Linked DNA regions of Nothobranchius furzeri. The protein of the gene in region 1 purifies or fractionates together with the protein of each later gene. This does not show direct contact. Links are inferred from orthologs where the notes say so. Each region holds a gene or a part of one and is shown in the gene's direction. Other genes may lie near its edges.

Evidence for each region. Proteins that work in one complex are often made in the same cells at the same time.
Region 2: the proteins of cAMP-dependent protein kinase type II-beta regulatory subunit (region 1) and akap11 purify together in Homo sapiens (affinity purification with mass spectrometry; 3 studies listed by BioGRID and IntAct, counting the BioPlex papers as one, with this or other methods). This does not show direct contact. The link is inferred for Nothobranchius furzeri from reciprocal best matches to the Homo sapiens genes PRKAR2B and AKAP11.
Region 3: the proteins of cAMP-dependent protein kinase type II-beta regulatory subunit (region 1) and prkacbb purify together in Homo sapiens (affinity purification with mass spectrometry; 7 studies listed by BioGRID and IntAct, counting the BioPlex papers as one, with this or other methods). This does not show direct contact. The link is inferred for Nothobranchius furzeri from reciprocal best matches to the Homo sapiens genes PRKAR2B and PRKACB.
Region 4: the proteins of cAMP-dependent protein kinase type II-beta regulatory subunit (region 1) and akap1b purify together in Homo sapiens (affinity purification with mass spectrometry; 3 studies listed by BioGRID and IntAct, counting the BioPlex papers as one, with this or other methods). This does not show direct contact. The link is inferred for Nothobranchius furzeri from reciprocal best matches to the Homo sapiens genes PRKAR2B and AKAP1.

Annotation. Positions count from the first base shown.
Region 1 is NC_091744.1:62,291,382-62,298,482, forward strand, and holds the start of cAMP-dependent protein kinase type II-beta regulatory subunit, read left to right. Parts: upstream 1-3,353; 5' UTR 3,354-3,487; coding exon 3,488-3,758; intron 3,759-4,616; coding exon 4,617-4,652; intron 4,653-6,067; coding exon 6,068-6,120; intron 6,121-6,275; coding exon 6,276-6,359; intron 6,360-7,101. Other genes in the region: hsp90b1 (endoplasmin), read left to right, coding at 1-112, 199-444, 524-660, 742-820, 912-1,067, 1,142-1,240, 1,322-1,348. UniProt on the Homo sapiens protein: Regulatory subunit of the cAMP-dependent protein kinases involved in cAMP signaling in cells. Type II regulatory chains mediate membrane association by binding to anchoring proteins, including the MAP2 kinase.
Region 2 is NC_091754.1:39,490,596-39,496,363, forward strand, and holds the end of akap11 (A-kinase anchor protein 11), read left to right. Parts: intron 1-768; coding exon 769-852; intron 853-1,191; coding exon 1,192-1,238; intron 1,239-1,344; coding exon 1,345-1,544; intron 1,545-3,479; coding exon 3,480-3,659; 3' UTR 3,660-3,850; downstream 3,851-5,768. UniProt on the Homo sapiens protein: Binds to type II regulatory subunits of protein kinase A and anchors/targets them.
Region 3 is NC_091751.1:51,163,362-51,169,511, forward strand, and holds the end of prkacbb (protein kinase, cAMP-dependent, catalytic, beta b), read left to right. Parts: intron 1-1,238; coding exon 1,239-1,361; intron 1,362-1,513; coding exon 1,514-1,678; intron 1,679-3,805; coding exon 3,806-3,931; 3' UTR 3,932-4,232; downstream 4,233-6,150. UniProt on the Homo sapiens protein: Mediates cAMP-dependent signaling triggered by receptor binding to GPCRs.
Region 4 is NC_091753.1:61,603,029-61,609,362, forward strand, and holds part of akap1b (A kinase (PRKA) anchor protein 1b), read left to right. Parts: intron 1-81; 5' UTR 82-106; coding exon 107-1,586; intron 1,587-2,008; coding exon 2,009-2,133; intron 2,134-2,316; coding exon 2,317-2,443; intron 2,444-2,523; coding exon 2,524-2,651; intron 2,652-2,740; coding exon 2,741-2,918; intron 2,919-2,992; coding exon 2,993-3,143; intron 3,144-3,298; coding exon 3,299-3,366; intron 3,367-4,048; coding exon 4,049-4,122; intron 4,123-4,212; coding exon 4,213-4,278; intron 4,279-6,334.

The DNA of each region.
Region 1 (7,101 bases):
CTTCCAGACCTCCCACAGTGAAACTGTCCAGTCCAGCCTTGAGCAGTATGTGGAGCGCATGAAGGAGAAGCAGGACAAGATCTACTTCATGGCTGGCACCAGCAGGAAAGAGGTGGGTGTGTTTGCAGTGTGATGTGGTGTAGCTTTAACAGGAAGTGCTGAAATGTAAGTGATCACCTGTTATTTTTTTGTCTTCAGGCTGAATCTTCTCCTTTCGTTGAGAGACTGCTAAAGAGAGGCTATGAGGTGATTTACCTGACCGAGCCCGTGGATGAGTACTGCATTCAGGCCCTTCCAGAGTTTGATGGCAAGCGCTTCCAGAATGTGGCTAAAGAGGGTGTCAAATTTGATGAGAGTGAAAAGGCCAAGGAGAAGAGGGAGGCTCTAGAGAAGGAGTATGAACCTCTCACCACATGGCTGAAGGACAAGGCCCTCAAGGATAAGGTAGGGGTTTGATTTTAGTGCACATGACCCGTTTACATTATCTAACTGATGTCTGATCAGGGTTTTTATTCTCCAATAGGTCGAGAAGGCTGTTCTGTCTCAGAGGTTAACTGACTCGCCGTGTGCTTTGGTGGCCAGCCAGTATGGCTGGTCAGGAAACATGGAGAGAATCATGAAGGCACAAGCTTACCAGACGGGCAAAGACATTTCCACAAAGTGAGTAATACACCCAGGAATTGAAGTATTGATGTTTACTCATCAATCCTCCTCAACCGATGTTGACTCTCTGTCCCTCAGCTACTATGCCAGCCAGAAGAAAACACTAGAAATAAACCCTAAACATCCTCTTATCAAGCAGATGCTCAGCAGAGTCAATGTATGTGTGCCTTTTTGATTTTATTTCTAAGCCTTTTATTCTAAAACAAAGTTGGCTGAGCAGTTTCTACATGTTTCCATCACATCTTCAGGCGGATGCTGAGGACCAGACTGCATCAGATCTGGCAGTGGTTCTGTTTGAGACGGCCACGCTGCGTTCAGGCTACCAGCTCGTCGACACAAAAGCCTACGGAGACAGAATAGAGCGGATGCTCCGGCTCAGCATGAATGTACCCCTGGATGAACAGGTAGGCGGTAATGTGAAGTTGGTTTCTTTGCATTGGCTCGGTGAGTCGGTTCTTTAAGTCTGCTGCTGTTTCAGGTTGAAGAAGAACCTGAGGAAGAGCCAGAGGAACCGGCAGAGGATGACTCTGAAGATAAAGAGGAAGTTATTGATGATGATGATGAAGATGATGAAACGGTGAGATGACTTTTAAAATGCGTTGAAACGGTAAAGAACTGTACTGGGTGTGGCAGGTTCTAACTTGTATTTTGTTTACAGATAAAGACTGATAAAGATGAGCTGTGAAGCACTGAATGGGAGAACGTACCCCAACAACAACGAAGCTGGAATCAGACTCAACTCCAGTCCATCTGTGGTTGACGCTGTCCTGGGTGGGTCCTTGGGTTAGGGTTTTTTAAGGCGAGCATTGTTTGTGCAGTTTTTTTTTTTTTTTTTTTTACATTCCCCATGACTGTAAATTTGTTAATATTTAACTGACCTGTTTATGAAGATGCAATCCTGTCTATTGATCTAATAAATGTTACCAAAAGTGTCATCTGTGCAGAGAAACATGATTTCCGTACCAGATTTGAGATTTTCATGACCAAACATCCACCTGGCCCTTGGGTGCAACATCTCAAATAATCTTTAGGGAGTCGCACAGAAGTGGAACTACATGCAAGCTAGAAGCAGAAGGGAAACTACCTGCAGTGTTGGACTGTTTCCTGTATCTGCTGGCTGCTGTGATCTGATAAAAGGCTTCAAATAAAAGACTAGTTGACCTCAAGAAAATTTTCAAGATGCTTTCAGTGGCAACACAGAAGATAATTTGAGGCCCTGCAAGTTCACTGAACAAAATATTAAAATTACGAAAGAGCAATGACTTAAATGCAGCATGTGGATCAAATATGGATCTCAAACCTTTAAAATGTAATTAGTGGCAAAACTTTAAAATTCAGTTAAGAAAACTGACATTTCTCTCCAAATAAAAGTTAACTTCTTGGCAGTTTACAGAAGATTTGTCACAAGGTACAGTAATACCTTAATAGATGACATGCCTTTTAATGTGGATTAGATGCGTTTTCATTGTTACTGTAATTAGAAAAGCTGCATCTTATTGAACCTCTGGATGGCAAGTCTAAAACGTCCACCAGATGGCGGTATTGCTCACTTTTAAATGATTGACTTGTAGGCCACTGGAGCTTACTATGTTCAAAACTAAAAATGGAAATTTACATTTATGAATAGAAATTTTACTTCAAAACTTTCTAAATTTTATAAAGATCAACTTCCACTGACTGGATGATTGTTTTTAGACTTTGCTGCAATTCTGACATATTTTAGACATTCTACTTTTAGGAGAACTGATATTTGACGACATGCGTCACCTCCAGGCCACTCAGCAGACTGCTCAGTCCGTTAAATTTTCTCTCCAAACTGCAAAATGGTTTTCTAATCGATAAGCCTACTTACACAATTAACTTATCACCCACACAAGGAAATAAATGTCCATATGCATAAAAAGTCTTTGCAAAAAAATCTAAACATTTTAGTCGAAATCCCTGATTAATTTATATTTTTAGTGAACTTGAAAAGAAATAAATGCAAGAACGTGTCTGTTTTTGCAAAACAAATGCATTTCAAACAAATGAGTAGATTATATTTCGTCTTGTGTCAGAACTGGAATTTGGGTAGCAAGCTTTGAGTAATGTTTTAGAGAGGGAGCTAGACATTTGCTCCATGATTATTACCAAACTTAGATCTGCAAAAATGTTTTAAAATGTCTTGTTGTGCATCAGGCGTATTCACTTTTTGCCTCAGAGAAAAATGAAAAGCAGGTCCATAAGAGATGGATCAGCTATGGGAGCCATTCTTTTTACAATAAACTTCAGCTTCCCTTTTAGCCTACTTTAGTTTAAATGGTGCAAAAATATAATCTTGCCGATAAACTGTTTTAATATTTATCTGATTAAATAACTTCACACATTTTCCTGTTTGCAAATTTACTTTTATTTTATCTCATCTCAGAATAAAACCTGATTGACAAAATTGCTGCACAGAAGACGAAATAAATCCTTTACAGCTCAGATTGTGGGAAAGAGCCACCACGGCGATTCTCCTTCCCATAATTTGTATTTTGTGACAGACTGCAGTTTCTGCGCCGCTGCCGCTCATCTACGCAATCCCTGGATAGGTGGTTGCCATGGATTCCTGGGTCACATGCGTGGGTTTCCTATAGCCAGAAGCAGCAGCAGCAGAAGATGATGCTTGGACCAAAATCCAGAGCCATTTTCATTCAGGAAAAAGAGAGGATCCGCTGTGGACAGCTCGTGGCACACCCGCTTATTCCTAATCTCAGCTGCGCGTGCATCCCTTCTTCTTCTCCCCTTCATCTTGGACTTGCAGCAGATCGGTTTTGTCCACATTCATAGACTGAAAACAGGAATGAGTATAGAAATTCCTGAAGGACTGACGGAGCTGTTACAAAGCTTTACCGTGGAAGTGTTGAGGAATCAGCCCAGGGACTTGCTCGAGTTTGCGTTGCAGTACTTCACCCAGCTGAAGGACAGCGAGACCAAAGAGGCCTCATTTGGCAATGAGCAAAATTCGGCCCCGAGATCAGGAAAAGCGGTCAATTTTATTGACGAGGCCATGCAGATCGATTCCGAGAACGGAGAGGACGACGACGACGACGATGACGACGAGGAATTCACAGGTGGTCTGAACGGTTGCTGCTTTCCTTTGTCTTTTATCTAAACACGACTGTGAGAAACGCACGTGAATGCGGATGACCTTAATGTTATTTGAAGCATGGGCACGCGTCGCAGCGGTGGGGGATAATGACTGATGCACCGGCGCTCCGCCACCTTGCATCCACCACCGCCGCGCTGTCAGTTGCCATATACGGTCACAGAGGATGAGCGATGGTCACAATGTGTCTGTGCGAGAAAATGATCCTTAAATACCAAACAGCTGCCATCTCAACGCCGGCACCACAGTGTGCTAAAAAGCACTCAGAGTAGGAGTGGATGGGGTTGAATATTTGCAGTCTCAGATGCAGGCCCAGATGGGCCTATTTACCCTCCTTAGCTAATAGAAAATAAGACAAATTATATATTCAATGCTTTCAAACATGGCATGGATATGGTCAAATGATCTGGTATGCACTAAATTGTAGCTTATAAGAGTAATCAGTGCAGGGTTGCTAGACAGCAGAGCTCTGACCTATCATCAATGGGAGTAGTGGGGTCTGGGGACCATCTGGTTACATAAATGCAGGTGCACCACATTCATTAGTTTAATAGTCTTTTTTTGGGGGGGGGGGGGGGGGGGGGGGCACTTTCATTGAGTCAGCACCGCCTGCAGGATGTCTGTGAATGACCTCCTAATGCATTTTTCATTCTGACCTTTTGTGGCATTATTCAAAGACCCTAAACCCACTTCAAAGCAGATGTTCTCATTCAGGTTTTACCCCCAATGAATATGGATCCCCAAGAGCAATGCTCCAGAACTGCAGCAACCTAAACCATTTCCAACAAGAGCAAGTTTAACACCTGGCTTTTATGTTTTACAGCTCCGGTGATAAACAGATTCATCAGAAGAGCATCAGGTGAGTTACGTTGGGATGCCTGACGTATTAAAGGGAAAAGTCTGGACAGTATCATCTCATCTGAATGTCGGGGGGAAATTTTCCATCTGTCTGTTGTAACTGTCCCTTCCCTTATAATAATAGGATTGATTTATAACAGTGTGTGAAGCCACTTCGTGGTGAACTTGGTTTATAATATCAGTGAGTGACGTGGGTGCAGAAATCAGGGCAAGAAGTGGTCCTTAATTATCTCTGGCTAAGAATAGTGGTAAAGTTGTAGCTCTGCACTGGAACGGATGGCTGCAGTTTTTCCAATATAAAAAGTGTGAGGAATATTCTGCAAAACATTTAGTATCTATTTGAACATAAATATATCTAACTAGGGTTTAAAATCTAAGGGTATGATTAATGTTGCCCCTGACTGATCCTCATGCTCATTTACACACATGCAGGAACATTTCCTTTTAGGAGTCTAAAATGCTTAAAATCATGTCACTTGTACTTACATTTTATTATATAAATTGAATGTGAAATTCTGTATCTTTAAGGTCTTCCATCCAAAACGTTTATCTCTTCTGAGGTTTAAATGATAAATGACCCACACTTTTATAGCGCCTCTCAGAGTAAGGACTCCAAAGCACTTTACACTACAGTGTATCATTCATCCATTCACACACTCATTCACACACTGATGGTGATGAGCTACGATGTAGCCACAGCTGCCCTGGGGCGCACTGACAGAGGCGAGGCTGCCGAGCACAGGCACCGGCAGTCCCTCCGACCACCACCAGCAGGCAAGGTGGGTTAAGTGTCTTGCCCAAGGACACAACAGCAGAATTCTCTGTCCGGAGCCAGGATCGAACCTGCAACCTTACGATTACTGGACAACCCGCTCTACCTGTTGAGCTACTGCTGCCACAGGTTTAGCCAAAAGATGAACAATTTCACCTCTGATTTGGATGAAGCACAATGAGGCTATCAGTGTTTAGTCACAAAATAATACATTAATTCATCCAAAGAATGCATTCTAATGTATTTGCAGAAGAAAACTGTTTTGTTACAACAACAGCCATAAGTAGTGCTCTGCAGAAAACACTGAAATCAAAAAATATTTTGAGCAAAATCTAAAGATAAAACTAAGTCAGCAGGTTAACAATGAAAATAGTAAAGAAGGAGCCATGCAACATGTATACAACATGTGTCATTACACACACAAGAAGGACGACTTCCTTTATATTTGCTTATACAGGAGGATTCATTTTTACATAAAGAAGTGAAATGGAAAATAAAGAATGTTCTCCTGAAGCGTTCTCAGTGATGATGGAGCTGAATGAATCCATTGGACAGGGTATCCTAAAGAGAGAAGCAATGGCATCAGTTATCACAACTGGTATAAATGTAGTTTACTTACCTCCGTTGATCTTTCTCTAACACAGTTTGTGCTGAGGCCTTCAATCCAGATGAAGATGATGAAGATAAGGAACCACGGGTAAGCTGTAGATAGAAGTTTGGGTCCATCTCTTTCTCGTTAGTAGCATGTATGTTATTTGTTAGCTTTCTCGCATGCACCATGTTTCATACTGGTTAAGGTTCATGTTTTACAATGACACTCTTAAATTGGCTTATTTTTGCTTTGTGTTGCAGGTCACTTACCCCAAAACCGATGAGCAGAGATATAGACTACAGGAAGCATGCAAGGACATTCTTCTGTTCAAGAACCTGGATCCAGTGAGCAAATTATTTGTTTCACTTAAAGCCATCATAAAACCATGGAACCATGGATGGCCTGAGGCTGCAGGTTTTTGTTGCATGCTTAGAGAAAGATGTTTGATTTGGGAAAACAATTTCCAAACACTTTCAACCCATAAAAGCAGGACAGGAGACAATAGTTGGATGTTTCACTGAATTGTCAATTTGAAAATGTTAAAACTGTAATCGAAAATTAGATAAACTATTTGACGTAAAAATTGTTCATGACTCTTAACAATGTTCTAACATATCCATCCATCCATCCATCCATCCTTCTTCTTCCGCTTATCCGGAGTCGGGTCGAGGGGGCAGTAGCCTAAGTCGAGAGGAATTCTCTCTCCCCAACCACTTGGGCTAGCTCTTCCGAGGGAATCCCAAGGCCAGGTGAGAGACAAACTCCCTCCAACGTGTCCTGGATCTCCATTTAAGCCTCCTCCTGGTTGGACGTGTCCAGAAAACCTCACCATGGAGGCATCCTGACCAGATGCCCGAGCCACCTCAACTGGCTCCTCTTGATGTGGAGGAGCAGTGGGTCTACTCCGAGCCCCTCCCAGATGACCAAGCTTCTTTCTCTATCTCTAAGAGAGAGCCCAGCCATCCTGTGGAGAAAACTCTTTTTGGCCGCTTGTATCCGCGATCTCACTCTTTCGGTCACTACCCAAAGCTCATGATCATAGATGAGGGTAGGAACGTAGACCGACCGGTAAATCGTTATAACATA
Region 2 (5,768 bases), on another chromosome or scaffold:
TTTAAAAAGCAAGTTGCATGCTAGGAACTCTGTTCCATCCAACCAGTAATCAACGTGATGAGTGGTCAACACTAGTGCTAGAGCTGGTTTACTGTGATCGTGATCAAACTGGTCATTTGTAGTTTGTTTTTATACAGTTTTGTAGGGTTTTAGTTCCATTATCTCCCTGAAACATGGTGCCGAGCGCTCCTACTGTGACACCCCAGCTGTTTTGTTGTTAATGTGGTGTCATGGACAGCTTGGCTCTGTTGAGGGAATGCAGAGCTAACTAACACAGTAAGCTAGGTATTATTTTATGAGTGTTTTCCTGAAAAAGCTCACGCGTTCCACCATGGTGCACAGATTAGGAACCCGCCCTGTTATCCTGTAATCTGCTGGTTCAGTCCACAGTTTTAACCACAGCTGCCATTAAACTATGGTGCATACTGTAATGCACCGCTAAACGGACAAATACTTTTATAAAAGTCATTACTGGTGATAATTGTCCCCAGGAGTCTTCAAGCCACACTCACGTGTGCGGTTATTGTCCCGAGCGTTACTAAAAACAAACGGGTGCCTCTGGCTGCGGAGCGGGACACCTGCACACCTGGACGACATACTGGTGTGGCAGCTCCCTCTGAAACCCCAGTGTGATCACACACACACGCACGCATACACACACACACACATACACCAGCTATTATACTAGCATGCTTATGTTGTGTGTAGTTCTGCTGGAGGGGGGCGTGGCCTGTTCCAGGTGCATAATCCACCTTCTCTCCTCAACAGCAATGGGAACAGCAGCAGCTGGAGCAGTCTTGGCCTTGATGGGGAAGCAGTGGAGGAGTGTTGGTCATTCTCACCTTCTGACAGGTTGGTCTTCTCCGCTGCACATGGGGGAGGTGGTTGTGTCCAGATCTAGGTGCAAAGAGCTGCACGTGTTCTGGTGTTCATGTTGTGTTGCTGCTGGTCGCCTGGTCTGATCCCCCTAGCAGGAAGTTGGTCGTAACGCCGCGTTAAAGCGCTCTATAAACCAGTGGTATGGTACGCTGTGTCTATCAACACCGTAATGCTGCTCTAGGTGTGTGTACACCAGAACTGTGAGGTCCATGACTGTGACACCAAGATCTGTACTTAACAGTGTCTTAGCTGTTGGCTTGTCCTCTCCTGTCCTCCTGTGTCCTGATTGGTCCTTCATGATGTTTTCAACAGTGACTACATGGAGGACAAGGAGGCAGAGGTCCAGGAGGAGTCCAGCGGTAAGCATGTTTTGTTGTTACACCAGATGTGTGGACTCGGATCAGGACTGGTAAGATCTCAGGCTGGTGAGTGTGACCGAGCTAAAACCATGTCTCTAACCTGCAGGGATACTCTGTGTGGACTGGACTCAACTGCAGAAGCCCAGGACCACACTGCTGATGAGAAACCTGGACGTGAAGGATCTAGGGCGTAGTCCTCAACACGTCACCCTTGACCCCCAGCTGAGGAGCATGCTGCAGTGGGCTGCAGCGTCCATGGCAGATGTCCCTCAGGTCCAGCTCAGTGCAGAGCGAGGACTCCAGCAGGTGAGTCAATAGGTCTGATGTCCAGAGCTTGGTTACGTGTAAGGTGGGGTACATTCTGGCAGTGCAGCAGCTGAAGCAGCAGCAGGTTTTGGTGCTGGTCCTGGCATGGGTGACTGGGATCGTAGCAAGCAGCTTGTTTCAGCCACTGAAACAGTTAGTCTGAAGGAGGACATATTGGGCAAACCTGACCATAGCAGAGTTGCCAGTCCCATGCATCCCATACTCTCAGCCAATCAGAGAGCCAGGAGGAGACGGGGTGGTTTCCCGCTTTGTGACTTTCATTGAAATGTGACCCATGTAGATAAATACTGAGATCAGCAGTGGTTTTAGGGTGTTTACATCCCTTCCAGCGAGGCTGCTGTTACCATGGTAACAACCGTTTGGGCAGTTGTGTTATTCCTCCAGTTAAGGCTCGAAGTGGCAGACCAAAAACCATTTCAGGTAAACAGAAGTGAAGAATGGTGAGGACAGAGTCCAAGCCAACCCACAGACCAGCACCAAGACCTACATCATCTTGCTGCAGATGGGGTGGGGGGTGCAGAGGAAGCCTTTTCTCTGCCCTTAGCACCAACAGAAGACAAGTCACGCTCAGTGGAGTCGGAACCTGAAAGTTTTCACTCACAGCTTGTCCACAGGATCAGGATCACACCTGTTAAGTCCTCAGGTTTGGGCTGGAAACTGTTTTAAAGACCGTAAACTATGTTACTCCTCGTCTTCCTGGAGTATTATTCACCATGGAGACCCCCCACCCCCACCCCCCCCACACACACACATAGAGACCGGTGAGACGCTTCGCTCCAGCAGCACCTCCAGCATGCTCTCTTATATTTCTCATTCCTAACCCTAAAACAGGACGTCCAGACCCTTCTGTCAGCGCTCCTCCTCCGGAACTCTCTCCTCCTCGGACTCAGTGATGTAGGAGACATGATGGACATGACCGTTCAGACTGCAGTCGCTGTCAAAACCATCAGATATGTGTTGGAATCAGTACCGCATGTCCAAGTGACCCGGATCACATTTAAAACGTCATATATGGGTCACACGAGGGAAACAGCAGTTGGGATGTGCGTGATGTCTGAACTTATGTTACACAACTTGTTGTTTGTGTCTGATAAAGGAACTGACCTGGTCAACAAGTCTGTTAGATCTGATGATCCCGAGTCAACACGGGGCGGTGGAGTTTGGGTTCTGAGCACCTTGGGCTGCATCTGGACAGCTATGATGAAGAGGTCCACCCTTACATCATGTCATGGATATTAATAACAGAGCTATAGCTTACTACCTCACCCAGATGACTCGGACGTCTCCAGCTTCACTAGCAGCATGGCCTAACCCTTGCAGAAGCGTTGCTAAGGCAGCTAACAGTAGCTAACTTTAGCTAGCTTCTCTAGTAACCCACTTTTCATATAAAGCTGTAGTCAGCAGATGTTAGAAGTCCCGTCTGTGTGGAGCGGAGCCCCTGGTGGAGCGGAGCCTCTGGTGGAGCCGTGATGGTGGCTCGTGCCTGCTGCAGGCCCAGAAGCTGCTGCCACCTGTGGTCAGGTGTAATACTCAACATGGCATACTGATGTTTGCTTCAGTATCCCGTGTTGAACTCCATCACATCGCTGGGATTGTAATCCTCCGGGCTGAAGATCATGCTGCCTTTTGTACCTGAAGCAGCACCAAACCCCGGGCAGCAAGATGGTGGCTCTGTTCTTGTTCTGGGGAAACCCGCAGACTCCATGTGTGAACACGCTGGAGAGTGTTCAGCCTCCACAGCAACAGTTCAGCAATTCAAACCACCCCGCCTGCACACCCGGGGGCGGGGTTTCTCTGTTAGTGTTCCCCAGGGCAGCTGTGGCAACAGTGTGGTATGTGAATGACAGCCCCCCCCCCCCCCCCCCACCACCACACACACACCAGCACACTGAAACCATTCTGATTCTGTTCCAGTTGCCAGCTGTGGTCCAGAGGCTCAGAGAGAGAAGGTGGAGAGTTGGAGACCTGCTGCATCAGCTGGTGCGCTACTGCGAGGAGGTCCAGAGCCCCCCCGCAGCCACAGACCAGACCCTGCAGGCCAGTCCAGAACCGTGCTGCACCCCACTGTTCCAGTGGCTTCTGGACCGCACCTGAAACCCCTCCTGGCCTGGGTCCAGTCACCAGAGGGCGCCATGCCAGCACATACGTCTGCTGTAGTGTGTGTGTGTGTGTGTGTGTGTGTGTGTGTGACCCCTACCTTTCTGTTAAATTATTATTATAAATTAGAACTGCTTAGTGAGAATTGGCAGCCCCACCCCTGCATGTCGCCAGACCAGTGGACTGTTTACCTGTCCAGTAATCAGCTGATGTCATCACACACTCCTCTCACCTTTTATTTCAGTTCTCTCAATTGATCACGTTTGAAAACCAAGACATAAACGCTGCTGAGAAACTAAAATTTGTCGTATTCCAGGTAAAAATACAGTATGTCAAAGACCCCCCCCCCCCCGCGTGTGTGTGTGTGTGTGTGTGTGTGTGTGTGTGTGTGTGTGTGTGTGTGTGTGTGTGTGTGTGTGTGTGAGTGTGAGTGAGTGACGGAAAGAGACAACAACCCACTTATGCCCAGGTCTGAAGACTGGATGGTCATTAAACAAAGGACAAATGTGTGTGACGCTGTATCTCCTCATAGCCACTACAAGTACACACACACACACACACACCTGAAACAGAGAAAACATGATTAAGACTGAGGTAACAGAACAGAAGAGTGGAACCAGGAGTAAAACAGGACCAGATGAATACAGATGGCCCTGTGACAGGATGGATCAGACGTTCTACCTAAATCACTGACAGAACCTTTAGGGAGAAGCTTCAAGCCGTGTAGGACTTCCTTTAGCGTTGACTGTAAGAGGGCGCTCGGTCCAACCCCACCTGAGCAGGGTTACCCTCGAGCTAGCGAAGTGCTACAGCATGTCTCAGTGCCTTCCAGATGTTTGGAACGGAGGAGATGCCATAACTCGCTGATGGTGGATCAGGAAGTACGGTCTGATTGGAGGCAAGTCTCTTTCCCCAGAGTGTGTTCAGTTTGGAACGTGGCACTGCCCACATCTGTTCCATGTGTTCACATACCTTACACTGGATAAGAGCCACCTCCAGTGTGTTTTCACACACACGCTCCTGCTGGAGTGGAGCACCCGATGCAGACAGAACCAGTGTTTTATGTAAACAGCTGCAGACAGGGATTTCCTGTTCAGAGTGGGGCCAAAGGTCAGGACCATGCAGACCTTCTGAACCAACAGACAGGGAAGCATTAAGGTGATGTTGAGCACGAGCAGTAGGAAGTTCTGTTATTGTGGATCCACCCTGTGATGAGCTTCCGTGACTTTACTGTGACTCAGCTGCTTCTGTCCTCCTAGTGGAGGAAGCTGAAATTACAACCAACACATGGCTGCCAAATCAAACATGTGACCTAACCGCGTGGCAGCACCTTGTTCTTCGCTCTAGCTGCGGCTCCAACCGCCAACAGGTCAGAACCTGGTAGATGTTCTGAATGCTTGAGGTAAGCAGCTTTCACCTAGCCAGAGCTAGCTACATGACTCATGGATCTGTTCCAAGCTACTGACCGGTGATCGGGTGAACACGCCCCCTCAGCGCCCACTGTGGGATATTTGTTTGATCTCCAGGAACCATCTGGGACACCGAGCCTGATCAGTATTAACAGAAATGTGTTTACATCAAAGGAATGTATTGAATTTGTATTACTCAGACCCCCCCCCCCCCCCCCCCCCCCCCCGTAGTGTGTCACTGTGTGTGCTGAAGGTGAAATGCTGTGGTGTCACTATTGTTCATTGTGCTGCTTTACGAGAAGTTTTGATGTTTTCCTGCTTCCCTCAGACTTCCAGCCAAATGAAGATATTTATTAAATGAAATGTTAAAACTAACTGTTCTCATGTGCTGCTCTGTTGGTGTTCAAGTCATAATAAAGCTTCTGCTGTGCTGAAAGACCGACTCCTTTAATCTGGAGGTTGTGACTTCATGGGAAAAACTACCTGAGCTGGATTATACGAAGGGGTGTGGCATCGTAGAAGGTGTGATTGGTTGCAAAAGTCCCTTTTCCTTTTTGCAATCTCAAAAACAACAGAACACTACTACTAGGGATGAGCGAGTACACCACTATCTGTATCTGTTCAACCAACTAAATTATCTGTATCTGTACTCGGAATGGGCGTGGCATAACCCGGAAGTGGGCGTGGTTTAACCGGA
Region 3 (6,150 bases), on another chromosome or scaffold:
ATTGCACACAATGAGTGTTCAGTTGACTTTCACCATCAATGTGCTGCTAAAACGTATATATATCACCCTAATAGTCGGCTTTAGATATCAGCCATCGGCAACAAAAGTCTTTAAAAATTGGTATCGGCATCTGCCTTAAAAAAAAACATATCGGTCGGCCTCTAAATTTAGTCTCACGGCCCCAAAACTGTAGAGTTTGTAAGATTATATCTGTTTTCACTTGTAACATTATCCTTTTGAAGACCTTCAAATTTATTTGACCTTATTATTTTTCACTCCATTCTAGTTTGGGGTCATTTTGTATTGAAAAGACAATTTTCTCAGAAATAAAAACATTTTTAAGTTTTTTTCTGAAAGTCAAACCCATTCAGCATCACCAAACATCTGTGTCTGATCTTTGGTGTCCCATTGAAGCACAAATGGAAAATTTGTGAATGCTGTGTTTTTCCCACAACCCAGCACTGTTATCCCCTAAACTTAAAAGCCAAAAGAGTCACTAATGATCACTTTCGAGACAATTTTCTGGTCTTTGAACTTAAGATTTTTAAAATATTGATAGTTGTGATGCTGCACTGATCTACCTTTTTGTGTTTTGATTTCAATATCTGAATTTAAATATCTGCCTGTAGCTACACATACCTCTTTCAGTACTGTATTGTTGATGGTGATTGTGTTTGGCTCCAGTTAACTACCTAGATTTCATTTTAAAATAATAATGAAATAATACTTAAATTCATATTTACATCAAAAGTAACTGAGACATATCTGAATGACCCCCTCACAAGTCAGGTCCTCAGCAGCTGAGCTGCTCTGTCGTCTCTGCAGCTCTTATCAAAGTGAAACACATCTGCTACCTCACCTCATGTAAATATCTGGAACAAACTCTGATTTTTGTGGGGGCTGCAGCAGGGGAGGTTTTGGGGGAAGCTGCAGTTTGTGCAAAACACTGCTGAAGGTTAGCTTCATCATTGGCTTGGAGGAAAGTAAAGTTCAGAAGTCCAGATCATGTGAGCTGATGATGTAAGTGGGCTGTAAAAAAACTACTGTAGGGATATAAAATATATTGTTTAATAATTAAAACAGATTATTTTAGCTTTTTTAATGTATTTATTTTTTATCAAAGATGTAGGAATCATTTGAAAGAATTTTCTAGAGTTTGATGGGTCCTCAGTGAGGAAGTATCATATTTTATAATAATGAGCAGGGGAAGTGTTGAGTTATTGCTTTACATGTTTTAGGGTTACAACAAAGCAGTGGACTGGTGGGCCCTCGGAGTCCTCATCTATGAGATGGCAGCTGGTTACCCTCCGTTTTTTGCAGATCAGCCGATTCAGATCTATGAAAAGATTGTGTCTGGAAAGGTAAGCGAGATTTATTTTCTTAGATGTTTTCCATGGTCTTTTCTTTCTGTTATTTCCAATGTGTGTGTGTGTGTGTGTGTGTGCGTGCGTGAGCGCGCGCGCGCACACAGATTAATTACTAATCTCAAGTTTCCATAAATGTTTTTTATTAGGTACGATTCCCCTCCCACTTCAGCTCTGATTTGAAGGATCTGTTGAGAAACTTACTCCAGGTGGATTTGACCAAACGTTACGGCAACCTAAAGAACGGAGTCAATGACATCAAGGGTCACAAATGGTTCGCTACAACAGACTGGATCGCAATCTACGAGCGAAAGGCAAGACGCCAGACACTTTTAAAACACGAATCTGGAGTTTTTTCTATAAGGACACCCTCTAGAGGCAGAATAATGCATTGCGCCCATTTAGCCCCTCTCCCTACTTCCGTGATTACGCGTCTCGTTCGTGAATGTACACCTCTAGACAGCCAACAGAGCTAAAATACATTGTTTTACAAACATTATTTTTACATCATGCTGCTTATTCATTTTTAAAAGACTAACTTGTCCATACAAAATGTTGCCAACACTGCATCAGTCCAAGTACTTCCGCAAACATGCATGTACGCTCTCTGATCGATATTCATGTAAGCAGATGTCGAACGCTATTGGCTAAATCTGGACTTTGCCATTTAGATTAAAAATGTTAGCTAAATGTGCAATTAATACATTAATGGCTTTATTTTGTGAATTGGGAACAAAAAATCAAGGTTATTTTTCATTCGTGGTCAATTTTTCTTCCTGATTAAGATTTTTCTTTATAAAATAACAGCTCCTCTACTCCATTGGTATTAATGCACGAGTTACACCAACATTTAATTTCCCTCTGGGATCAATAAAGTAATTTTGAATTTGATTAAAATAGAGAAAGAAACAGAATCTATATAGGGTTGTCACGGTATGAAAATTTAACCTCACGGTTATTGTGACCAAAATTATCACGGTTTTCGGTATTATCGCGGTATTTTTTAAACGGTGTTGCATATGTTCAGAAAGCATTGATAGTCCTGTTCTACACAAACTGAAATAGTTTTGAAAAGGTTTAACAGTGTTTATTAAACCTAAAATAACACAAAGCCTTAGCAAAAGTGCAACTTTTCACAAGTAAAGGAACAAATAGCTTATTTTTCTGGAACTTGTTACAGTAGTCAGTGCAGGTTAAATTATACAAATCCAAACATTCAAAACATAAACAATATGTAAACAAATCAAAGAAACACCACTTGTTTTCTCATATACTTGTTTTCTTCATTATCAAAATGAAAATCTAAAACTCCAGTCCACACTTGACTTGAGCGCTGTACAAGTCAACCTTAAAATATATGTATTTAAAATAAATAGCCACTTTAAACAAATGACTAAAATAACTACTACACTATGTAATCAAATCCAAATGTTCAAGTATAAATGGCATTGAATAAGTAAACAAATCAATGACAAGGAACTAATTGTATATTTCTCTTCATCATCAACAAATAAGATGCTTCATCCAGCAACAGGGTGTCCATGACACGGTTTAAATGCTGGCAGAGGACGCTGCGGCTGCAGTATATAGTGACTCGTTGCATTCTCCCTCAACCAAAAGTCCTCGCGTCATGCATTTAAGCTAAAATGCTCATGTTGACTTACCTTGCACTGGCTGTAGAGATGTGGGTGATGGTCACGCAGATGTGCCATTAGATTCGAAGTGTTGCTGCCTTTTACAGACACTTGTTTCCTGCACGTTCTGCAAACGGGATAGCAGTCTTCTATTAACTGTCCCTCAGCATTTTTCAGAAATCCAAAATATGCCCATACTTCCGATTTAGTCTTCTTTGAGGGCTGATGGATGTCCTGGGCGCTGCCGTCTCCTCCTTCGGCCATTATTTCAGCTTCAACGTTTTGGTGCCATTGCAAACTAAAAAGTGCGTGTGCGCGCTGCGGGAACTTCAGCTGAAGCGACGGTGGCTGGTAAGGGTCACCGCGCCGAAACCGCGGCCACGGTAAACCCACCGAGATAATATAGTTTTTTAAAAACTGGACGGTTATTTTTATTGTCAACCTTTTTACCGGGGTTTACCGCTATACCGGTTACCGTGACAACCCTAAATCTATATGAATGAAATAGCCAAAAAAAAAAAAAAAAAATACCATGATATTCATTCTTCAGCTACAAATTTTACAGAAACAATAAAGCTAACCTGATGAGGGCTGACCATTTGGGTTTTTAGTTTGTACATGAACACCAAACGCCCGTCTCCTCGCCACAGATTAAAAACCTTTATTAAATATTGATTTGATGATGTTGGATTGACAAATCTGAAAAAAAAGATAAACGGTTCACTTTTTTCTTTTTAAATTCACAAATAATATATTTTAAACTTTCAATAGAAATCCATGACACTGGATTTCCCTTTTGTCTTACAGGTTGAAGCTCCGTTCATACCAAAGTGCAGAGGCCCCGGGGACACCAGCAACTTCGACGACTACGAAGAGGAGGAGATCCGTGTTTCTTTAACGGAAAAATGCGCAAAAGAGTTTGCCGAGTTTTAAAACACAAGAACATGGATATATCAGGGAAAATAAGGGGATGTTTGTACTCTTCAAAAAGACCTGGGATGGAGCAGAGACCATCTTTTATCAGATCTACGTAGTCCCTTCATTCCTCAAGGCTGAATGAGGTCCCCGTGATCCTCGAGTGTCGAACGGTAAACTCCTCACCGTCGTGATCACCTGCGTATTAAAGCAGACACATCACCTTTTTCTTCATTTTACTTTTTTGAATGCCGTTAGTCTTTGTTTTTGTTTCCAACAAAAATGTGATTTTTTTTTTTTTATGTATGTATGCGGAAAACCTCTGGCCAATAACAGTCCACCCACTATAGCTGATTTTTCTTTTGGCTGTTTGGCACACAGTTGAGTGGGTTGTGTGTTTTCCCATTTGTCATAAGTGGTGTGTGTACTTAAAGACCCACGTTGAGTTTAGTTTAAGCCAGCATAAACGTAGGGTTTTTGTTTTGTGTGTGTGTGCAAAACTGTCAGTTTTTTAAGACATTTTATCACAGTGAGGGTTCAAACGAAAAATTCTGGGCAGCTGGAGAGAGGTCCTTCCCTTTCTTTGCTTTCTGCCTTAGGAGAGCTGAGTCCTTAGACCCCCCAACAAAAACATCCTTTCACTGTCTTTTTGGAATTCTGACCCAGACACAGCAAGCCATTGCAGAAGTCGACAAGCCTTGCATTAGTTAAATGCATATCCACGTCCTTGGTTGATCCACTTTGGGTCTGTTTAATACATGTAAAGTTTTCTCATTTGCTATCTTAATGTTTATTTTATTTTTTTTTTACATTGTGTTTTAACGTTAGAACAACTGTCCCTAGATTTTGGGAATCCTTTAACTCTTTTTTTTTTTTTACTATTCTCTGGATTAATGCAACTATAAGAGAAAAAGACAAAGTCCATTGTGGATTTTTATTTAGTTTTGTAAAGGTGAGAAGGCCGTTGTGAATAGGGTTGAGGCTTTAAGTTTTAACATTAACAGTTAAACCTCAAAAGAATAAATAAATTCTTAAATATTTTTATGTATGAAAGGAAAGATATTGTGAAATCCTTAGAAGGCAAAAAATCATATTTACCCATCATCTCCCCATCAAAGAATATGTTGGAAACTTCTAGATTTACGCATTGATGCTTGATTTAAAATTTTCCAACAAAACACTGGCTAAACTAAAGACTGCTCCTTTGAATCACATGCAACCCTGTTATTGTTACGCTCATGACATTATACATATATGCTTTGTTACATATTTGGTTTTATTTATACACATTAGAGATGCTAATAAATTTTATTTTTAAAAGGGTGGAAGTTTGACAATGTGTTCATTGTGATTCTGGTCATTAAACCTGGGTCACAGCCTGGCCAGCCATGCCAATGCGTCTTAATGGCCTCTGTGTAGAATAGGCAGAGGGCGATTTAAATTTAAATTAAAAACATTTAATATTCTGCCTATAACTCTTGGTGTTGTGCCCTCTTCTGCATTCAAATTTAAATCTGCCATCACTATTGGCTAAACGGTACCCTATGACGTTAGCTGATACCATATGATGTCACAATGCCGTTGTGCGCCTGTGTGTGCCTGTATTTGTTAGGGGCTCCGCCCTCAGTCTGCCAGGCAACAGCATTTGTTGCATTTTTTTTAAGCAAGAAGTGGGAGTGAAGTAAGACTGCTAGGAGGTGACTTGCTCTTTAAGAAAAAATAATATTTCTGCTATTTTTAATTTTTGTGGTTATTTTGTAATTCACTAGGACTGCTTAAGATCATTTGCAGACTTGATCTTGAATTTTCCCCCTAAGTGGGGAAATTTTGGTGTAACAGGCAACAGCAGTAAAGCAGACTAACAAGAATGAAGAGAAAAGGGTGGTACAGCAAGAACACATGCACTGCTCACCACCCCAAAAATGTCGCCACCTGCATTTAACCAAGCAAACAGTAGAGCCTCCTATTGGATAATTGCTGCCTGGGTGATTATCTTTCAGCTGGCAACAAGTTATTTAACCCCAACTGGTACAATGAGTTGCTTCCCATTTCTTAAATCATGTGTAAAGACACATCTGGTGGTCGTGGAAAAGAAATCATTGGCATGCATCAAGCATAGAAAACATCTAAGGAGACTGCAGAAACTGGGTTTAGAACTGGTCTGATGAGTCAAGATGGACCCTGTTCCAGAGGGATGGGTGCGTCAGTGTAAGAAGAGAGGCAGATGAAGTGATGCA
Region 4 (6,334 bases), on another chromosome or scaffold:
TTTGCCACCTAGGTGGTTTCTGTTACCAGAAAGTCTTTGTGACGCCTTTCTCTGCTCATCTGTCCCTGTTTTTAATTTCAGGTGTGCCCCCTGATCTCTTGAGAACATGCTGCTGAGGTTCCGCTCCGTGGTTCCCTACACGCTGCCCGGTGTACTCGCACTCATCGGCTGGTGGTGGTACGCCTCGCGTAAGAAAGAGCGTCTAATCAGCGATGAAAGTTCAGAGGGGCCCCCGAGCGCGGACACATCTCACCTGGAGGGTAGAAACGGCGTGGATGAAAACGGGACTGCCACACCTCCACGTGAAGTGGACTTCTACGGACCTCCGAGTCTAAACCACCAGAGAACACCACATGAAATACTTTCTCCCATCCACACCCAGGATGTTGAAGCAGCACATTCCCTGGTTCAAAGTTCTGATGATCCTGACCCACTGAGTGGCAGACTAATAGCAGAGGACATCTTTACACCCACAGGTCCCACTTCGCCATCACATGAGGAAGATGTGACAGGAAGTTCGTTGAAACCCCCTGGAAGGGACTTCTTAATAGTTTCAGACGGGGAGTTTCATTCAGAGGTGGCTCCGGGGGCCTCGAGCGAGGACGCCATCACGTCTCACCGTGCTACCAAAGTCACCCGTTCGTCCTCTGTGACACGCCTCTCTGGTGCAGAAAGACCAGAGCCAGAGGGTGAAGTTGCTATGCATCAGAGCTCTGTTAACACTCAAGATGAGATTGTTTGTGCACTTACCCTAGCCAAAACACCAAGGGTCCTCCCATCAGAGGCAGACTCTCTGGAGACGTGTCTGTCAGCGGATGTACACAAACTGATACTAACCAGTACACCCACTTCTCTCACCTTCACAGTCCAGGATCCCACCAGCATGCTGGTGACCTCAGAGGACATCCGTATCAAGAGCAGCACTCAAGAAGAGCCGAATCTGGAGCTCCTGGCAGCTGGACTCATCACTGAGGTCATCTCAGCAGCCACCCAGGAAGTGCTCGGTGTCACCAAGGTGTCACCCGGTGGCAGCTCACCCGCGGTCAGAGGACAGCTTTGCTCTCTAGAGGAGCCGGTCGCAGGAACACAGCAGCACGGTTGTCACCCGAGAAGCCTTGTGCAGGGAGGCCCTGAGTGCCGAGAGGCAGCAGATGTCCAGGGAGTGCCAAATGGTGGCTCCATGACTCCAGCACGGGCAGCTGCTGAGGCCAGCAACGGGGTTTGTAAAACAAATGTCTCGTGGCCGCCGCCGCCGCCGCATCAGGCCTCTCCAGGTCTAAACGTGAAACGTAGAGGCGACGAGGGGACCGTCCTGACCGAAGACTCTGCCTGCAGCACCTGCCACTCTGAGGACGGCGTTAGCCTGGAGGAGCTGCAGAGCGGCGTGTTGGAAAACCAAACGGACGTCCTTCAAGTTACAGACTTGTCGTTGGAAGCCGTGCAGCCGCTGTCGTTGGTGGAGGCCGGCCCAGCAGCCCCAGAGGAGAGCTCTGTGGATGCTGCAGGTGTCCTAAAGAGACTTAACGGGATTGGCTCAAGAAACGGGGCTCATGGGACATGTGAGGTGGACACCGATCAGTCTGGAGGTGAGGCTCGTCCTATGCTAACGGTGAGGGTGTGTGTCCTAGCAGCCTGCTTTAATGTGCTAAAGACGTGGGTCTGCTCTGGAAGTGATCGTACTGAATGTGTTAATCGGGCGACTATGGGCCCAGGTTCTGATCTAGAAGCTTCTGATCTTGTCTGACCCATAACTTCAGAGGGTTTTGCAGCCGGTTTCCTTTTCCGTCTCATCGGGCTTTAGCTGGGGCTTCATAACCCGACGCCCCTCAGGCGGTGGCGGACGTGGTTGTGAAACCTTCTCTTTGCTGGAGGTGACTAGTAGCTGGAGAAAGGGTCGAGGTGGACTGAAGCAGCTGTTGGACACACGGGGCTTCAGAAACGTTACCATGTCATAACAAAGTGTAGATTGTTACTGGTGAAGGTAAAATATTGGATGTGATGTGTCCAGGTTCTGATGTGAACAGTATGGACTCGGTGGACAGCGGCTGCACTATGGGAGCCTGTGAGGGCCAGGGCAACAACGCTGCCTCATCAAACTCTGAACTCGTTATCTGGGAGATTGAGGTGCCAAAGGTGAGTGACCCCGCCCCCGCGTGTCTGTAACGGAGACGCCGCCGGCAGAGAAACCAAACCTGCTTCTGCTGCTCTACGTTTTCTTTGTGGATGTCAGAGGAGTAAAACTGGTGTCGCTGGATTTTCCTCTCATGGTCCAAAGTGGTTGAGGACGGTTCTCATGAGCATTTCTTGCCGTGTCAGCATCTTGTAGGGCGGCTGATCGGGAAGCAGGGGAGATACGTGAGCTTCCTGAAGCAGAACTCTGGAGCAAAGATCTACATCTCCACTCTGCCTTACACACAGGAGTTCCAGATCTGCCACATAGAGGGTGAGTCTGCTGCAAGGCGCCCGTTTGTAGGAAAGGTTCCTCTCGGAGGTGGTTTCTAACGCTGCCTGATCTGTCGCCAGGTGTGCAGCAGCAGGTTGATAAAGCTCTGGCACTGATTGGCAAGAAGTTTAAGGACCTGGACCTGACCAATCTGTACGCACCCCCACCACCCTCACTCTCTCTGCCTTCACTTCCCATGACCTCCTGGGTGAGAAGGAGCTTCTCCGCTACACAGCTGAGTCCTCGTGCTGAGCGCAGGCTTCTGACGCTTTGCTGTTTGACCTCCATGTTTTTCAGCTCCTGCTTCCCAGTGGAGTGACCGTCGAGGTGGTTGTGGTGAACATCGTGTCAGCTGGTCACGTCTTCGTCCAGCAACACACCCACCCCACCTACCACGCCCTAAGAAGTCTGGATCAGCAGATGTTCCTGTGTTACTCCCAGCCGGGTACCCCCGCCCTGCCCTCGCCTGCTGAAGGTAGAACTTTTCTTTGGAACGTCTTCTCTACGGTGGTGAGATCTGTGTCGGAAGTTCTCCTCCTTCTCTTCCAGTTGGTGTTATCTGCGCAGCTCCAGCAGTGGACGGAGCCTGGTGGAGAGCTCAGGTCATCACCTTCTATAAAGACAGCGATGAGGTGGAGATCAGATATGTTGATTACGGAGGCTACGACCGAGTAAAGACCGACTCGCTCCGACAGATCAGGCAAGCGCCCTCCAGCTGACCTGTGGGCGTCTAGCCTTTGGGCTCCTGGTGCTGCAGCTTCATCTGATAACTCTGCACATTCACTTGTTGTGCTTCTAGCCTACTTGTCATCTGTTTCATACACATCAGCAAATAACACGATGCTTTCTCTGCAGGTCAGATTTTGTAACTCTGCCATTTCAAGGTGCAGAAGTTCTGCTCGACAACATCGTCCCTCTTCCAGGTACAGCTTTGTTTTGTTACGTGCTGAGTTTAGAGAGATCTTCTGGCTGTCAGAGTCGGAGACATTTATTTTATTGTTTGTTAAATCAAAGGGCCCCGCCCACTCATTCGCCCTTCCCAGGCAAGGTCAGCAGCACGCCATCACCGCCGTAAACACCATAAACTTCCTCAGATATCGGATTTGCACCAGAATCACCTTGAAACTTGTCCCAGGCCCGGCTTTGTTCCACTGCGACCCCTAACCTGTCAGCAGCCTCAGTCGGCCCTCTGGCCATAAAGACAGCTTGTCAGCATCCCTCACCTCTGGCGTCCGCCAGCAGGTTTGAGGGTTGGTACCGCCCACCCTGACCACACACACTCTTAAAGAAACGTCTGCTGATCTTTGGAGGCGTTGTGCTGGAGTTTCAGCTCCGTACGGGAAACGCTGTCAAACAAACTCACAACATAAAGGAGCTGTTCGGGTCCTTTCTGTAGTCTAGTAGTGGCAGTAGTTGGTCACAGAGGTGCCTGATTTTTTTTTATATATATATTTTTCGCAGCTTTTAGAAATACTTTCGGCTGATGGCCGATACAGAAAGTTTGAACATATCGGTCGGCCTCTAGCGCCGTGTTTAAGAGCAGATCTTTGGTTTTGAGTTCACCTCCGGTGCTGGTTTCATACACACTGATGTGTCATTCATCAGGAGAGGATCGTTTCTCAGCAGAAGCCACGTCGACGCTGGAGGAAATGACCAGAGGCGTGGCTTTACTTGCACAGGTGAGGCTACCTTCAACCCTGCAGCTCTCTCTTCAGAGAACCACCACCAGCTAAAGTCTAATGTCTGTTTCCTCCCTGCTTCCTATAAAGGTCTCAAACTACGACAACAACACGGGCCTACCACTGGTTCATCTGTGGAACATGGTGGGAGATGAGGTATGACGTTTGCATTTACTCTCTGTGTGTGGACTGTAAGAGAGCTGTGCAGGCGAGGGGATCAAGTTCCTCTGGATGTCGTAAAAAGGTTTTCGTTCGTGGTCATGCATACTCTAAAAACCCGTCTGATCACTAAGAACACATGTTAAAATACTTTTCTCTCCCTTGTCTCTACGAGCTCTAAGAACCATATGGGTCTCATTTATGAAGCCGTGTAGAGTCCTCACTAAAAATCTACTTAAGCTCGACACAAAAGCTTATTTATACAAACAAATGTTCTGATTCATAAAACTCTGCTTACGCACAGCTGCACACAATTCCTGCTTTATAAATCACACCTGTCCTAGAAGTGTGCTCAGGTGATTTTTGATCACACCCCACCCTCCGCACACCCACTTATGAGTGTTCTGCATACGAGTAAGCCAGGTAAGTGGCAGCTTTCACAGGTAATCACGGTGACTGCAAGGCCTAAAAACACCATTTCACAGAGACTGACGTTGATGTGCTTGTGGGTGAGCTAGAGGCTTGAGAGTGGTGGAGAGTTTAATGGTGAACGTCAAAAAGAAAACGTAAAAAAGGGTTCGAATGGAGGCAAAGAGGAAGGTGGCAATGTTCATTTCAGTGACGTATGGCATCTTGTACTTGGAGGTGTTAATACGGTGGTTCCCTAAGTGGTGGGGGTACAAATTCAGGAGGAGGAGGGGGGATGAAGTGTTTCTGGCTTCACTTGCACAGTCCTTGGCAACATGCCACCTGTGTGAGGTTGGTGTTTCTACTCTGGCATCAATCCTAACCAAATAAAGATTAACATGCCAGTCTATAAACCACGATCCAGATTCTTGGTAAAATGGAAAAACGCAACATTTAAACCTCGGGTCAACTTGTGAGTTACTAAATAAAATACCATAGAATTAGAAAAGCAGTGTTTTCAAGCAAAATCCCATAATACACAATTTTTAATGAGATTTGATGTTTGAAAATGCATCAAGCTTTTGCTGTATTAACTCATTAACTGCCATTGACGACTGAAGTCATCATGTGCCTTTTTATTTATTTATTTATTTATTTTACTGTGTGGGCGTCAGAACGAGCCCCCGCACAGTGAGATCTAACATCCCAGCTCCAAAGCTGATCTCCATCTGCATACGTCACACGTCACGTGATCAGGAAGCAGAAAATCCACGTGTTAGGTAGGAGATAGTTTTGGGCCGCTGCTGTAAAAAAAAAAGTGAGGTGCAAACCGGAAAAGCTTCTGCCGATCACAATTTGACAACGTATTATAAAATAACAGATAACGCTCAAAACGCGCGGGTTCGTCCTGATCTAAGAGGTGAGTCTACTCTTGTTTTGGTAGTGTTGGCGTTGACATCGTCATACCGTGCAACGTTCTGCGACTCTTCAATATCAGGGTATCCGCGGGTCCTTAAAAAGTCTTAAAAAGTCTTAAATTTGCTTTTCTAAATTTAAGGCCTTGAAAATCCTTAAAAATGACAAATAATCCTTAAATCCAGTTTCCAAAGGTCTTAAATTACAAAGACCCAATGAACAAGAATTTCTAGTTAGTCTTCAGCATTTTTTGTGTATGATGTTGGCGTAAGCGGAACCGTACACATTCAGTTGGTTGTGAAAGGGGACTATTTTTAGATGAGCACATTAGCTGGTTAAGCTAGTGGGAGCTTGCGCCATGGGGAAGGGCAAGTTTAATGGTAACTGGATGGCTAATCCCACGTTTCCACCGGTTCCAGGCAATAGCTGGAAATTATAACTTAAATTTAATTTAAAAAAATAGCTTAAATTTGGTCAAAGTGGCCTTAAAAAAGGTCTTAAAAAGTCTTAAATTCGGCTCCCTTAAACCTGCAGTTACCCTGAATAAACTGAAAACGCTGGCAGCGAAGGAGTTTTCTGATCAGGAAATGTCTGGCAGTTAATTCAATTCAATTCAAAGATACTTTATTAATCCCAGAGGGAAATTAGAGTTTCAGTACACACAATTCAGAGATCAGACATACGTACAGGCAAAGACACATGACAAGAATTGGTGACTGTGGTCATTCGC